3 linked regions of the Tamandua tetradactyla genome follow. The protein of the gene in region 3 interacts with the protein of the main gene of each other region in a biochemical or structural test. Links are inferred from orthologs where the notes say so. Each region holds a gene or a part of one and is shown on either strand. Other genes may lie near its edges.

Region 1 (3,743 bases), on a different chromosome or scaffold from region 3:
TGTTAAGAATGTTTTTCTTGTATTTTTTAAAAAAATTAATAAAAAAAGAAGTAAAAAAAGGTGATTTGATGTTTTATGTAGGAAAGGAATGGCTTTTAGCGAAAATAAAAAAAAGTTCTTACAGCAAGGTGGGTTGCCTGACCCCTCACCATACGGAGAGGGACTGGCCAGGCCTGACTGGCCATAAATAAGGTGGAAGGAGTCAGCTACACAATCTGGGATATGAGCGCCCGGGCCTGAAGGAGCTCAACTAAGCACCTAGTAGGAGCTCAAGAACCTCCCAATTATTTGGGAGATCCTACAACACCCACATTTCACAGATGGGAAAACCAGGGCTCAGGGAAGCCCTGTGGCTTGCTTGTTGACCTGTGACCTGAGAGAGGTCTGGTTATGGTTTCCCTAGGACTCTCTGGAAGTGGTTCTGCTCCCTTCTCCTGACCTAGCAAAGTACAAACAAGTGTAGGTAGGCCGAGTAGCAAACCAACATCTGGGGAGTCTCAGTCTGTTCTCATCCAGAGAAGTCCTCAGAGCAGGGCTGTTCTCTGGGTGTGCGTTGCCTTTTCCAAGCCTCCAGTCTCCGCACTCCCTCCCAGGCCCTAGGGCACTGCACCCAGCAGAACAAAAAGGGCAAAGGGAGGAGCTGAACACAACCGCAACGTGTGTGTGTGTGTGTGTGTGGGGGGGGCGTTATTTGTGTTGGTGCCAAAGTTCAAAACAAACAACAAAAAAGGCAAATCGATGCACTCAGCACAAAGTTCAAACCAGCTTTCCACCTGGAACCAGAGGTCATTGGTTCTAACTCCCTGGTGTTAACCCCCTGCCAGGGGTGCTCTGGTTCCTCCCCCACCCCTTGCCAATGCCAGCTTGGCACTGGCAGGAAGTGGGAGCCTGGCGGCCTTGGCATTCCCAGCACCCGGCTCCGGCTGGACAGTACTCCTAGTGACCTCACTTCCCTCACTTACACTAAACCAGCTGGTCTTCTGGGGCTCCACCTTCCACCTCAAAGCCGAATTATGCCCTTCCTCTGCCCAAGGAGGCTCCAACTGGCACCACTGGCACCCTTCCTACACGCTGCCACCAGGGAGAGCTGGTGCAAGCTCACTGGACCCCGGCAGAGCCTAGGCCCTGCACTTCACTGTCTGCACCCGGGGGGACCTCCCAGTGTCCCTCCCTAGGGGACATGAGGCTCAGAACAGCAATGCCTGTTTTGCCAGCTGCCCCTCCTGCAGCTGATCCAAACTGGGATCGTCTGGGGCAACACCAAATGCAGGCAAGCAGCAAGCAACCAGTTTGTTGGGAGGGGACAAGAGTGCCACAGGGGATGCTGGGGGAAGCCCACCTGCCTAGGTATGATACACCGACTGCCAACCCGTCCCCCTGCATTCTTTCTCCTCTTCCAAAGTCCTCCTTGCCGAGCCCTGATACAGGCTAGCGCTTACTCCTCACATTCCTGAGAATCATAAATTCTCCTGGGTGGCAGAGCCGCCACCACCCCCAGACGCCTCTGCGTCTCCTCCTCCCATCCCTCCCCCACACAGCTGCTTAGACAGGTCTGCAGGAGGACGATGAAGTCCAGGAGAGCTGAAGAAGGGCGCAAACCATGGAGGGTTCGGGCAGAGGAGAAAGACAGAGACCAGGAGTAACCGCCCGACACCCCTTTCTTCCCACTCCGGGGCTGGGCCTCCGCATGTAAAGGAAATTGGGACTCTTCTGGCTTTTTGAAGTCGGGGCCACGCTCGCTGTTCCTCCGGCTTCAGTTACCCCCCTCCTAGGGGCCGAGGAGGAAGGTTAGGCGGCGGGTCCCTCCTGCCGGCCCAATTACAGGGTGGGGACCGCCGAGGAGAGGGCCATTACACAACTAATTGGAGGGTTCCGAGGAACGGGCGAAAACGCCAACAGAGCCGAGGCAAAGGGACGGGGCTCTCCTGGGCCGCCCCCATCCCCTCCCCGCCAACCCCAAGACCAACCGAGAAGAGGGGCAGACGGCGCTCAGGGGCCCAGGCAGTGTGGAAAGGATGCTGGGGTCGTGGGACGCTGCCCCCAGGCCTGCCTAGGAACTGGAGATGCGCCAGGTCGGCGGGCGGAAGCAGCCGCCCCTCCTCGCCGCTCGAGTTCCAGAAAGACAGCAGCGGGCGCGGGGCTGCACCTCCGAGACGCCCGGGTCCCCGTCACCCCGCCTGGGCCCCGCACTTACCCGCTCGGGGGGGCTCTTCTCGGCCTCGCGCGCCTCTTTTTCGTCGCCAGGCCCCGGCGCCTCGGCGGCGGCGGGTGGCTCGGCCTGCCCGGGCCCGTCCTGGGCGCGTAGCAGCTCCTCCCGGACCTGGACGCCCAGCTTCTGCAGCCGCTCGTCCGTCTCGGGGTCGACCACCAGCAGGCGCACGGCGTTGAGCGCGGCGCGGATGCGGCTCACCACCTGCTGGTGGGTCTCCGTCTCCACGTTCTCTCCGTTCACCGCCACCAGCCGGTCCCCGGCCAGCAGCCCCGCCTTCTCCGCCGGCGAGCTGGGCTCCACCAGCCGGATGAACTGGCCCACCTTACCCTTCTCGCCGTGCAGGTGGAAGCCGTAGCCGTTCGGGCCCTTCTCCAGGCAGCAGAGCCGGGGCAGGGGCGCCCCGGCCGCCGCGTCCGCGCTCATCTCGCCCCGCGACGCCTCAGCGGCGCGACGCGCGTCCCGTCGGTGGCCGGCCCAGCCCTTCTCCGGCCTGGCGAGGCCGGGAGGCGGGAGGGAGCGCGGCAGGGACTCCCCGCAGCCGAGCGGAGAGAGCAGGTGTCCCGGGAGCGGCGGCCGCCGACTTCGGGAAGCGTGAGGAAAGGCGCGCAGACCAATCCCCGCGGAGCGCGGCGTCTGAGCTTTCCAGAATCCCGCCAGCCCCTTACCCCGGGGGCGGGGCCGCGCCGAGGGTGTGGGCCGCCGCGGGCCAATCAGGGCCCACGGGGTGGGGGCGCTGTGGCCGGGTGAACGTCGTAGGCCAATCGGATCCTGCGGGGGCGGGGCCAGTGCTCGGCGCGGCGCCCCGCGGCGGGCGAAGAAAGAGGACTCAGGAAGTGGAAGTGTTTGTTACCAAGTGGCCGGAGTCGCGGCGGGAGGGGCGGGGGCAGGGCCGAGTTCCTGGTACTGGGCGGAGGGGCCCGTGAGCTCCGTTCTGGTTTCACCCACCTGTGGCGGGGGATTGAGGACACCCTACCCTAGGGTAAAGGACCCTAACGTTTTAACGGCCCAAATCCTGGGTGTAGCTTCAGTTGAGGGGTGGACGATTGTTGCCGGGGAAACCGCTCCAGGTCCTGGTCAGCGAGTTCCCAACGGGGTTGTGAATAAGACACAGGACCACCTCTGACCCAATAAAGTTGCTTAGATGACGATATTTTCCCGTTCTTGGAGTCAGTTTCTGCTATCCCCGGATCCGTTTATGGGAGTGCAGCTTCACATCCCTTCCAGGGAGGGTGAGCGCTTTGCAGAGAGCCCGAGGCTTCGCGGGGAGCCGTCTAAAGACAGGACACCTCGGGCAGTGGTGTGGCCATGGCATCGGCCTTAGGCTAGGGAGCTGGGGTGGGGAGAGGCAGGACAGAGTCAGGAATTCCACGTCTGGATACAGACCGCAGGAAAAGAACACCTGACTTTTTTCAACAAAGAGAAATGAGGCTTGTATAAGAGAAGCCTTCTTGCAGCTTTTCCTTTTGGCACGTGAGGGCCCATCAGAGGCTGGGGTGTACTCTTGTTAGGGGTGTACTCTGTTGAATGATGA
Region 2 (3,743 bases), on a different chromosome or scaffold from region 3:
GGCTGCTTAAAGCAAATACCGTGAAATGGTTCAGCACGAGCAATGGGAATGTATTAGCTTACAGTTTGAGGCCAAGAACATATCCAAATCAAGGCGATGCTTTCTTCTCAAAGGCTGCTGCTGGTGACCCTTGGCTCCTCTGTCACCTGGCAGGGCACATCGTGGTGTCCGCTGGGTCCTCCCTTCTTTCCGGGTTTCATTGACTTCAGCTTCTTGCATCTATGTCTCTCTCACTCTCTCCATTCCATTTATAAAGGACTCCAGCAAGAGGTTTAAGACCCATCCTGATGATATTGCGAGCCATTGATTGTATACTTCACACTTTGGATGGATTGTACGGTGAGTGAAGATATCTCAACAAAAATTAAAAAGACAAACACTGGGGAAAAAAGATGCATCCTGAAAGAGGTGGCTCATGCCTGAACTGAAGCAGCCTCATCAGAAGATCCTACTTACAATGGGCTCACACCCACAGGCATGGAGTAAGTATAGGAACATGCTTTTCTGGGGTACAGAAAACCACACGAACACGGGCCATGGGCCTGGCGTGGTTTGAGTCACTGGGACACAGCTGTGAACTAGACAAAGCTTCCTCCCTTATGTTCTCAAGATTCGATGAACTGCAAGACGAAACCAGTGAGAAAATTTTAAGTACATAAGTCGATGACTTCTGGGGGGAAAACTAAAGTCAGAGTGTGAAATGGGAGACCAGGGAAGGCCTTGCTAAGGTGCCATCAGAGCAGGCAGAGGGGAAGGAGGAAGCCAGGTGGATGTGTAAAGGAAGAGTGGCCCAGGCAGAGGGAACAGCCCATGCAAAGGTCCTGAGGCAGAGATGTGCTGGGTGGGATTGAGGCCCAGCATAGAGGCCAGCGTGGCTGGAGCAGAGAGAGGGAAGGGGAGGCGGGGAGGAGCTGAGGTCAGCGGGGATAGGAGCAGGTAGGGGCCAGATGAATACTCTGCTTTAATTTGGCTTGGGAGTTGCTGGAAGGTGTTAAGTAGAGGGGGTGCTGAGATTGGATTGGGATTTGAGTTGCTCCCTCAATACCATGTGGAATTGTTTGGGCTTGGGGTGGGGGTGGGGATCCTCCAGGTGGGAGAGGGGGTGGGGTGAAGCTTTAGGGATGGGGAGAATGGATGAAGCTGGGGCACCATCAAAGCTATCAACCAAGTCTGTTTTATGGAGCTCGGAGGCAGGATAAGACGCCCCAGAGATGGAAGCGCAGGTGGAGGGGGTCTGCCCACCTGGCCCCTCGGCCCCTTCTCTTGGAGCGAAGAGACCAGCTGTCTGGAGGGAAGGGTGATGAGGGGGACCGGGCAGGGGTGAAGGCCAGTTACAAGCAGCATCCTCAAGACCCAGGGGCCCCGGTCTCGGCCATTGTCAAGGAAAGGGCCCTGCAGGAAGCCAAAGCGGGGCTGGCTGCTCAACCCAGCTCCTGGCACCAAGCCAGCACTCAATCCCCATGGGCTCTGTTCATTTTTTAGGGCTCTTTCTAGGGGATCCCTTATTATCACCCCAAAACCTCTTCTCTGATCACCAGGAACGCTGAGATCTCACACTAACCCCTGGAGGCCATGCCTTGAACTCCTTCTTGAAATACCACCTGATCAGCTCAAAGTCATTTGCGTAGAGCTTCCCACTGACTTCCTCTCTGGGGGCACAGCGCCTCGTGCCCAAGGTTCAGCGGGAAGGCGGGGTCCCTTCCCCTCCAACTTCCCTCGCCGCTGGGGTCCTTAGTACTGAGAACAGAGGAAGACGGTTGGGTTTGCGCTTCCTGTGTGTTCATTTAGGGGACCGCAGAGCTACTGGGACCGGCTCTGTCGGGGACTCACCAGCACCCACCGCCTCGCAGGGCCCCCCCGAGCTGTCCCCTGCAGGCCAGGACCCCCAACCCGAGGCCGCAGAGCCTCCCGCTGCCCCTTCCCCAGGCCTGGCCAAGGTGTGGCCCCTGGATTTCTGCAATCTTAACCGCCGTACTTCCGTCCCTTGGGCGGCCCCACCCCTGCCCCCTACGCCACCTTCCTGTGTGCCACGGGCTGGCCACCATGGTGCCCTCGGGGATGCTGCCTGCGGCCCACCAGGTTCTGTTTGTCTTCGCGCTGCTGGCCTGCCTGCTGCCCCCAGGTGAGCTGGGGTGGGTTGGGGCAGGGTTGGTGGGAAATGGGGGAGCAGAGAAAGCCAAGCTCCCCCACATTCACTGGCCTGGCTGCTTCGCACCTTTCTTTGAACTCAGATCTGACAGAGGGCTCCCCGGTGTCCTCGGGAGGAAGTTGTGCATCCTTAACTCAGGCTCCAGGGCATCCCGGGGCCCCGACCCTGCACATAGTTTGCGTTCTCTTGTTCATCTCCCCACCCATCCACCCACGACTCCCCTGTTCTGTTGGGAACCCCAGCCTTTGCCTATGCTATTCCTCTGCCAGAAACGCTCTTCCCTTTCATTTGGTGAACTCCTATTCACCCTTCAAAACACATTGTAGTTGCCCCCTCTTCTCCAAGAAGCTTTTCCTGACTCACACCCCACTTGGGACTGGATCAGGGCCTCCCCTGGAGTCTCCCCACCCCTGATCAATCATCTGTCCTCCCCCATGGAGGGCAGGCGTCCTTCTGGTGGGGCTCCCCTTTAGATCCCAGAATGAGGAGGTGCTGAATGGTGAGGGGGTGGGGTGGGGGAAGTCAGGGGAGCAACCAACCGAGCTTTCCCGGGTCTCACAGGCATCTGGGGACAGGCATTCTCGCTGTGGGTGGAGCCCCAAGAGCCGCTGGTGCCCCCCCGCGGGTCCCTGCTGGTAAACTGCAGCACCAACTGCCCCGGCACCCCCCACATCACCCTGGAGACGTCCTTGGACAAGGAGCTGCAGGGCCGCGGCGCCAGCTGGGTGGCCTTCTGGCTGCACAAGGTGACTGATGACAGTCGGGTCCTGTGTGCCGTGTCTTGCCACGGCTCCCAGATGTCAAGCTCCACCAACATCACCGTGTACCGTGAGTGGAGTGGCCACGGGCAGTGGGGAGGGGGCGGGCCTGGGGAGGTCACGTCGGTGGGACTAGACTGCCAGCCCTGGACAGACAGGGGGGACACATCTCAACCACATGCTAAGGACAGCAGTGCTGACAGCAGTTTGTCTGGGGTCCCGATAAGCATTTTTACAATGGCATCTCAGGTAATTTATTTATTACTTTAATTTTTATGCTAGGTAATTCGTGTGCAAAAAGTATAAAAAAAAAATGGTGCAAACGCAAAATCTACATTTACCTAATGCTGATGACCAGAGGGCTCTCTTCTAAGCGCTTCACCCCTAGTTGCTCACTCAGCCCGTACAGAAGTCCCCAGCAGAGAGGTGCAGGCATGACCCTCGTTTTGCAGGTGGGGAAACTGAGGCTCGGTGGGGAGAAGCCACTAGTCAGGGTTCCCAGCCCATGAGGTGAGAAGCTGAAAGTCTGGTTCCTTTAACATTTTTTTATTGCGAAATATAACATATACAAAAAAAAATACATTTCCAAGAACATCGCAACAATGTGTTGTAGAACAGATTTCAAAGTTTGGTATGGGTTACAATTCCACAATTTTAGGTTTTTATTTCTAGCTGCTCTAAGATACTCGAGACTAAAAGAAAGATCAGTATAGTGATTCAGCAATCATACTCGTTAATTAAACCCTACCTTCTGGGTGGGCCACGGTGGCTCAGAAGGCAGAGTTCTCACCTGCCATGCTAGAGACCCAGGTTTGATTCCTGGTGTCTGCCCACGC
Region 3 (3,743 bases):
CTGTTTTCTAAGTGCCATTTTAAATAAAGCTAAGCTCTGCATCTTTTCTTTTAGTGAAATAAAGAAAATCACACTGGAAGTGGCACCTCTTGACTACTCTTCTGCATAAAGTGTTAACTGAGCTATGTCTGATTAGAGAAGTCAGTTTTACAACATTGGCATTATAAAGCCCAGATTTCACGTGTCACTTGTAAATTTGAAAAGAAAAGAATTATTTTGTATAGGAAAAAGATGTTCTGGATCCCAAATGAATCACCTTGAAGATAGAACAAGTAAAAATAATATTTACTTCTGTATCTATTAACATATCATTATAGTAATTTAATTTACTCTTAACGGTAAAATAAGACTTAATCAAGAACTCCTTTTACAGACTCTACAGTTTAATGGGAAGGAATAAAACCGACATTTAACCAGTTGTTGATTATAAAACCAACCTATTGCAATTCTGAGGGAACCCAGCCACATTTGTGATTCAAAATTCAATTTAAAATTTTAAGCCATCTCCCCAATGTCTAGTCGCCAGTTCACCTGTGTTAAAGCCAGGAGCATACACACAAGTTTCTAAGAAATGTCATTTGCAGTAAACCAGATTTATTCCCACAACTCAAAGGCTGTAACCCTCCAGGCCTGGCCAGCAATCTAACCCAGTACTAAACAATCAGATTCAAGGTGACAGGGGTGAAGGGCACAGGAGAACTTTAATCAGGTATTGTTTACCAGGAATGCATGACCTGCAAGAGTCTAAGGAACCTCCTTATCAAGCTCCACTGGCTACCTTCATCTGCAATTCAAGTCCATTACCTCTTCTAGAGATAGGAATTCTGCTGCTACCAGCAAATTCCCTGGTTAACAGTACGGGTTTCACAGGCCTGCTGTAAAATGAACCATAAGCTGACAGCCAGAAAAACAGCATCTCCTGGGCTAAAGGAAGAAGTCGGTTACATTTGGTTTCCACACTTAAATCCAAGTCGGTGCATGTCCTCTTGAAGCCACTTAGCGTCTTCCTACCATGTAGACAACTTTTCTTTTTAAGAAGTTGCAACAGAATACGCTTTTAGAACACACTATAAAGCAGTGTAATAGGGGCTTCTATTTGTTTTAAAAAGGACCATAGCTATGGGGACCGAGGGATGTCTCACACACACAAACTGTAGAAAGAAAAGTACCATGATGTTTTCTTGAAGAATTCCACAAGGTACCTAAATGACCAAGAGCAAGGCAATTCCCTATTCCCGTCCTTTCGTTCGTTTAAGAAAGAACCCTGTACTACAACTACTTTCCACAACACTTCATGCAGGTGACCCTGCTTGAAAGTAAAGCTTGAAGTATCCCGCCCGGGTCGGAAACTGGATTGCTTACTGGTTTCGGCATTTTCGGTTCCTGGCGTGTTTTCGTCGATTCTCTAGAAACTCAGCTCCGCGGGAGAGGCCGAAGTGATTCTTCCAACCTGGAGGAAGAGGACAGTCCTGTAAGGCACAGGGCTGCTGGGATCCTCCCGCCGAGGACGGAGACCCCACGCCCGCCCCGCGCGCCGCGGCTTAAGAACCCGCCCGGCGGGCGCCCGGGTGAGTCACCGCCCAACCCACAATTACTGCGGGCCGGGCGGGCCCAGCGCTCGAGGCCGAAAGGCTGGCGGAGGGGGAGCCGGCCGCAGGCGACCTCGGGGCGTGGGCCCGGGCAGGGAGACAGACGTGGGAAGGGAGCATTAGCGACCCCGGGAGGCGGGCGGCGGGGAAGGGGGCGCGGGCCTCAGCGCTCCCGCGAGGAGGTGCGAGCGGTAGGGAGGGGCCCGGAAGACGAGGGTCTCGCCGAAGGGTGGGCAGCGAGGTGCTTCTCTGGGTTTCAAGGAAGCAACGAGTAAACCAGCAAACAGTAAGTTTCACTTTGTGTAGCAACCGTTCGCCCCCGGGCTGAAACCACAACAGTCACATCTTTGAGAAACACTTTTTTAAAATTTTAACTGCCGGGAAGCGGCCAAGGGCCCGCTCGACCCGAGTGCGGCAGGAAGGAAGGGGCGTCCGCGCCGCCCGGGCCCCGCTTCCACTCCCGGGGGGAGGAGAAGGGGGATGTGCAGGGAGAGGGTGGAAGAAAGGCGGGCGTTTCCGCAGCCGGCGGCCACCACCTGCCACGATCTGGGGTCGACCGTGAGCGGTGCCGGGTAAGGGAACTCGAGCGAGGCGGAGGAGAGAGGGGCTGGCTCCTGGCTCCCCAACCCCGGACTCGAGACGGCTGCCCCCCGCCCGTCGGGCCCGGCCGCCCCCGCCACAGCTGTCGTCGACCCCCTACCTCCGGCTCCCTTCTGCCGACGGCACGGCGCCAACCCCGCTAAGCAGCCCCCCGCCGCACCCCGGGGCAGAAGCGTTCGGCTTACCCACGGCGTCTGCCAAGTGGTCTGCTGTGCTGTCGCCGCTGTCTGTGCGTCCGTGGTGTGCCGCCGCCGTCCGCATTCGCCAGTCCCGGGCGAGGCTGGGAGGGGATGTCCCGGCCGCGCCCCCTTCCGCCCCGCCCCTCGGCCGCCCAACGAGTGAGGTGCGCCCCGGTGAGCGCAAGATGGCCGCGGGCGGCGGGCGTCCCTTCCCGCCCGGCCGACCCCTCCGGCCTCGCAGGCGGCCCCCTGTACCCCGGCGGGGCCATCCCAGAGCGGAGGAAACTCGGGCAGGCTATCCCCTGCCCCTCACCCCCCGCCCTGCTTTCTGTTTCTGTTGTTTTAAAGACCTCGGCCTTCCCCGTGGCCCGTTCCCTCGCCCTTGGAGAAAACCTAGGCAGAATTTGGTTTAACTTCTGATAGCAGACGTAAGGTGACAGACGGAAGTCAAGGGAATTAAATCAGTGCGTTGTGGCGGGCAGCCCTGGGAACTTGTGCGGGTTTGGGGTGGGGCCGTCCTCGTGGTCAGGGAATGTTGCAGTCCCAGGAACCGAGCGGCGGGACCTGGCGGGCATGGGCGTCTCTGCGCATTAGGCCACCGGGCCTCCGGTTCCGTTTCCGCTAAGCTACAAGGAGAGGAAACGATCGCGGAATGCAGTGACTAAAGGACCAATTTGTGCCCTCGTTTGACTTGACTAGCAAAAAAAAAAAAAAACTTTATTTCATGCCGTAGGAAGCTTCCTCTGAAATTCTAGGAATTTATCCTTTTTTTTGGCAAATGGTTCTCAAAAGGAATCTTTTTTTAAAACAAAAACTCACGCACATCTGGTGACCAGTGGAATTTGTTGCACAGTGATTATGGGCGCGAGTTCTAGAACTGTGATTCTCAAGAGTGTGGGCCCCAGACTAGCGGCATCAGCACCACCCAGGAACACGAACAAACTGAAATTCTCGGATTTACTCAATGGGAAACTCTTGGGGGTGGGGCCCAGGAGCCTGGGTATTAGCAACACCCTTCCCTCCCCAACCCTCGCCCTTGGTGATTGGGATGAAGGCTGAAGGTTGCCATCCAGATCTTCTCCTGAACTACTTTCCCGGTTGCCCAGCAACTCACTGTCAGAATGGGCAAGTTATTGAACCTCTTTGTGCTTTATAGTCTTTTCACCTGTAAAATGGCATATAACAGTATGCCATATCATAGGGTTGTTAGAGGATTAAATGAGTTGATACATGTAAGATGTTTAGAACTGAGCCTGGCACTGAGAGTAATCCGCGATTTGCACAAAGTATCAAACTAAAACTTGGTAAATATAAAGTGGGGAAAGTAGCACGTCCTACCTAGGATTTCCGATTAACTGAGATACTACAGTCCCCA

The links.
Region 1: the proteins of EZR (region 3) and NHERF1 form a complex in vitro, tested with the Homo sapiens proteins (2 studies listed by BioGRID and IntAct). The link is inferred for Tamandua tetradactyla from reciprocal best matches to the Homo sapiens genes EZR and NHERF1.
Region 2: the proteins of EZR (region 3) and ICAM3 form a complex in vitro, tested with the Homo sapiens proteins (2 studies listed by BioGRID). The link is inferred for Tamandua tetradactyla from reciprocal best matches to the Homo sapiens genes EZR and ICAM3.

What each region holds. Positions count from the first base shown.
Region 1 is NC_135332.1:15,208,863-15,212,605, reverse strand, and holds the start of NHERF1 (Na(+)/H(+) exchange regulatory cofactor NHE-RF1), read right to left. Parts: upstream 2,873-3,743; 5' UTR 2,636-2,872; coding exon 2,195-2,635; intron 1-2,194. UniProt on the Homo sapiens protein: Scaffold protein that connects plasma membrane proteins with members of the ezrin/moesin/radixin family and thereby helps to link them to the actin cytoskeleton and to regulate their surface expression. Necessary for recycling of internalized ADRB2.
Region 2 is NC_135337.1:91,452,455-91,456,197, forward strand, and holds the start of ICAM3 (intercellular adhesion molecule 3), read left to right. Parts: upstream 1-1,144; 5' UTR 1,145-2,043; coding exon 2,044-2,122; intron 2,123-2,710; coding exon 2,711-2,977; intron 2,978-3,743. UniProt on the Homo sapiens protein: ICAM proteins are ligands for the leukocyte adhesion protein LFA-1 (integrin alpha-L/beta-2). ICAM3 is also a ligand for integrin alpha-D/beta-2. In association with integrin alpha-L/beta-2, contributes to apoptotic neutrophil phagocytosis by macrophages.
Region 3 is NC_135328.1:151,860,122-151,863,864, forward strand, and holds the start of EZR (ezrin), read right to left. Parts: upstream 2,487-3,743; 5' UTR 2,375-2,486; exon of another isoform or gene 2,290-2,374; intron 1,876-2,289; exon of another isoform or gene 1,592-1,875; intron 1,451-1,591; 5' UTR 1,375-1,450; coding exon 1,363-1,374; intron 1-1,362. UniProt on the Homo sapiens protein: Probably involved in connections of major cytoskeletal structures to the plasma membrane. In epithelial cells, required for the formation of microvilli and membrane ruffles on the apical pole. Along with PLEKHG6, required for normal macropinocytosis.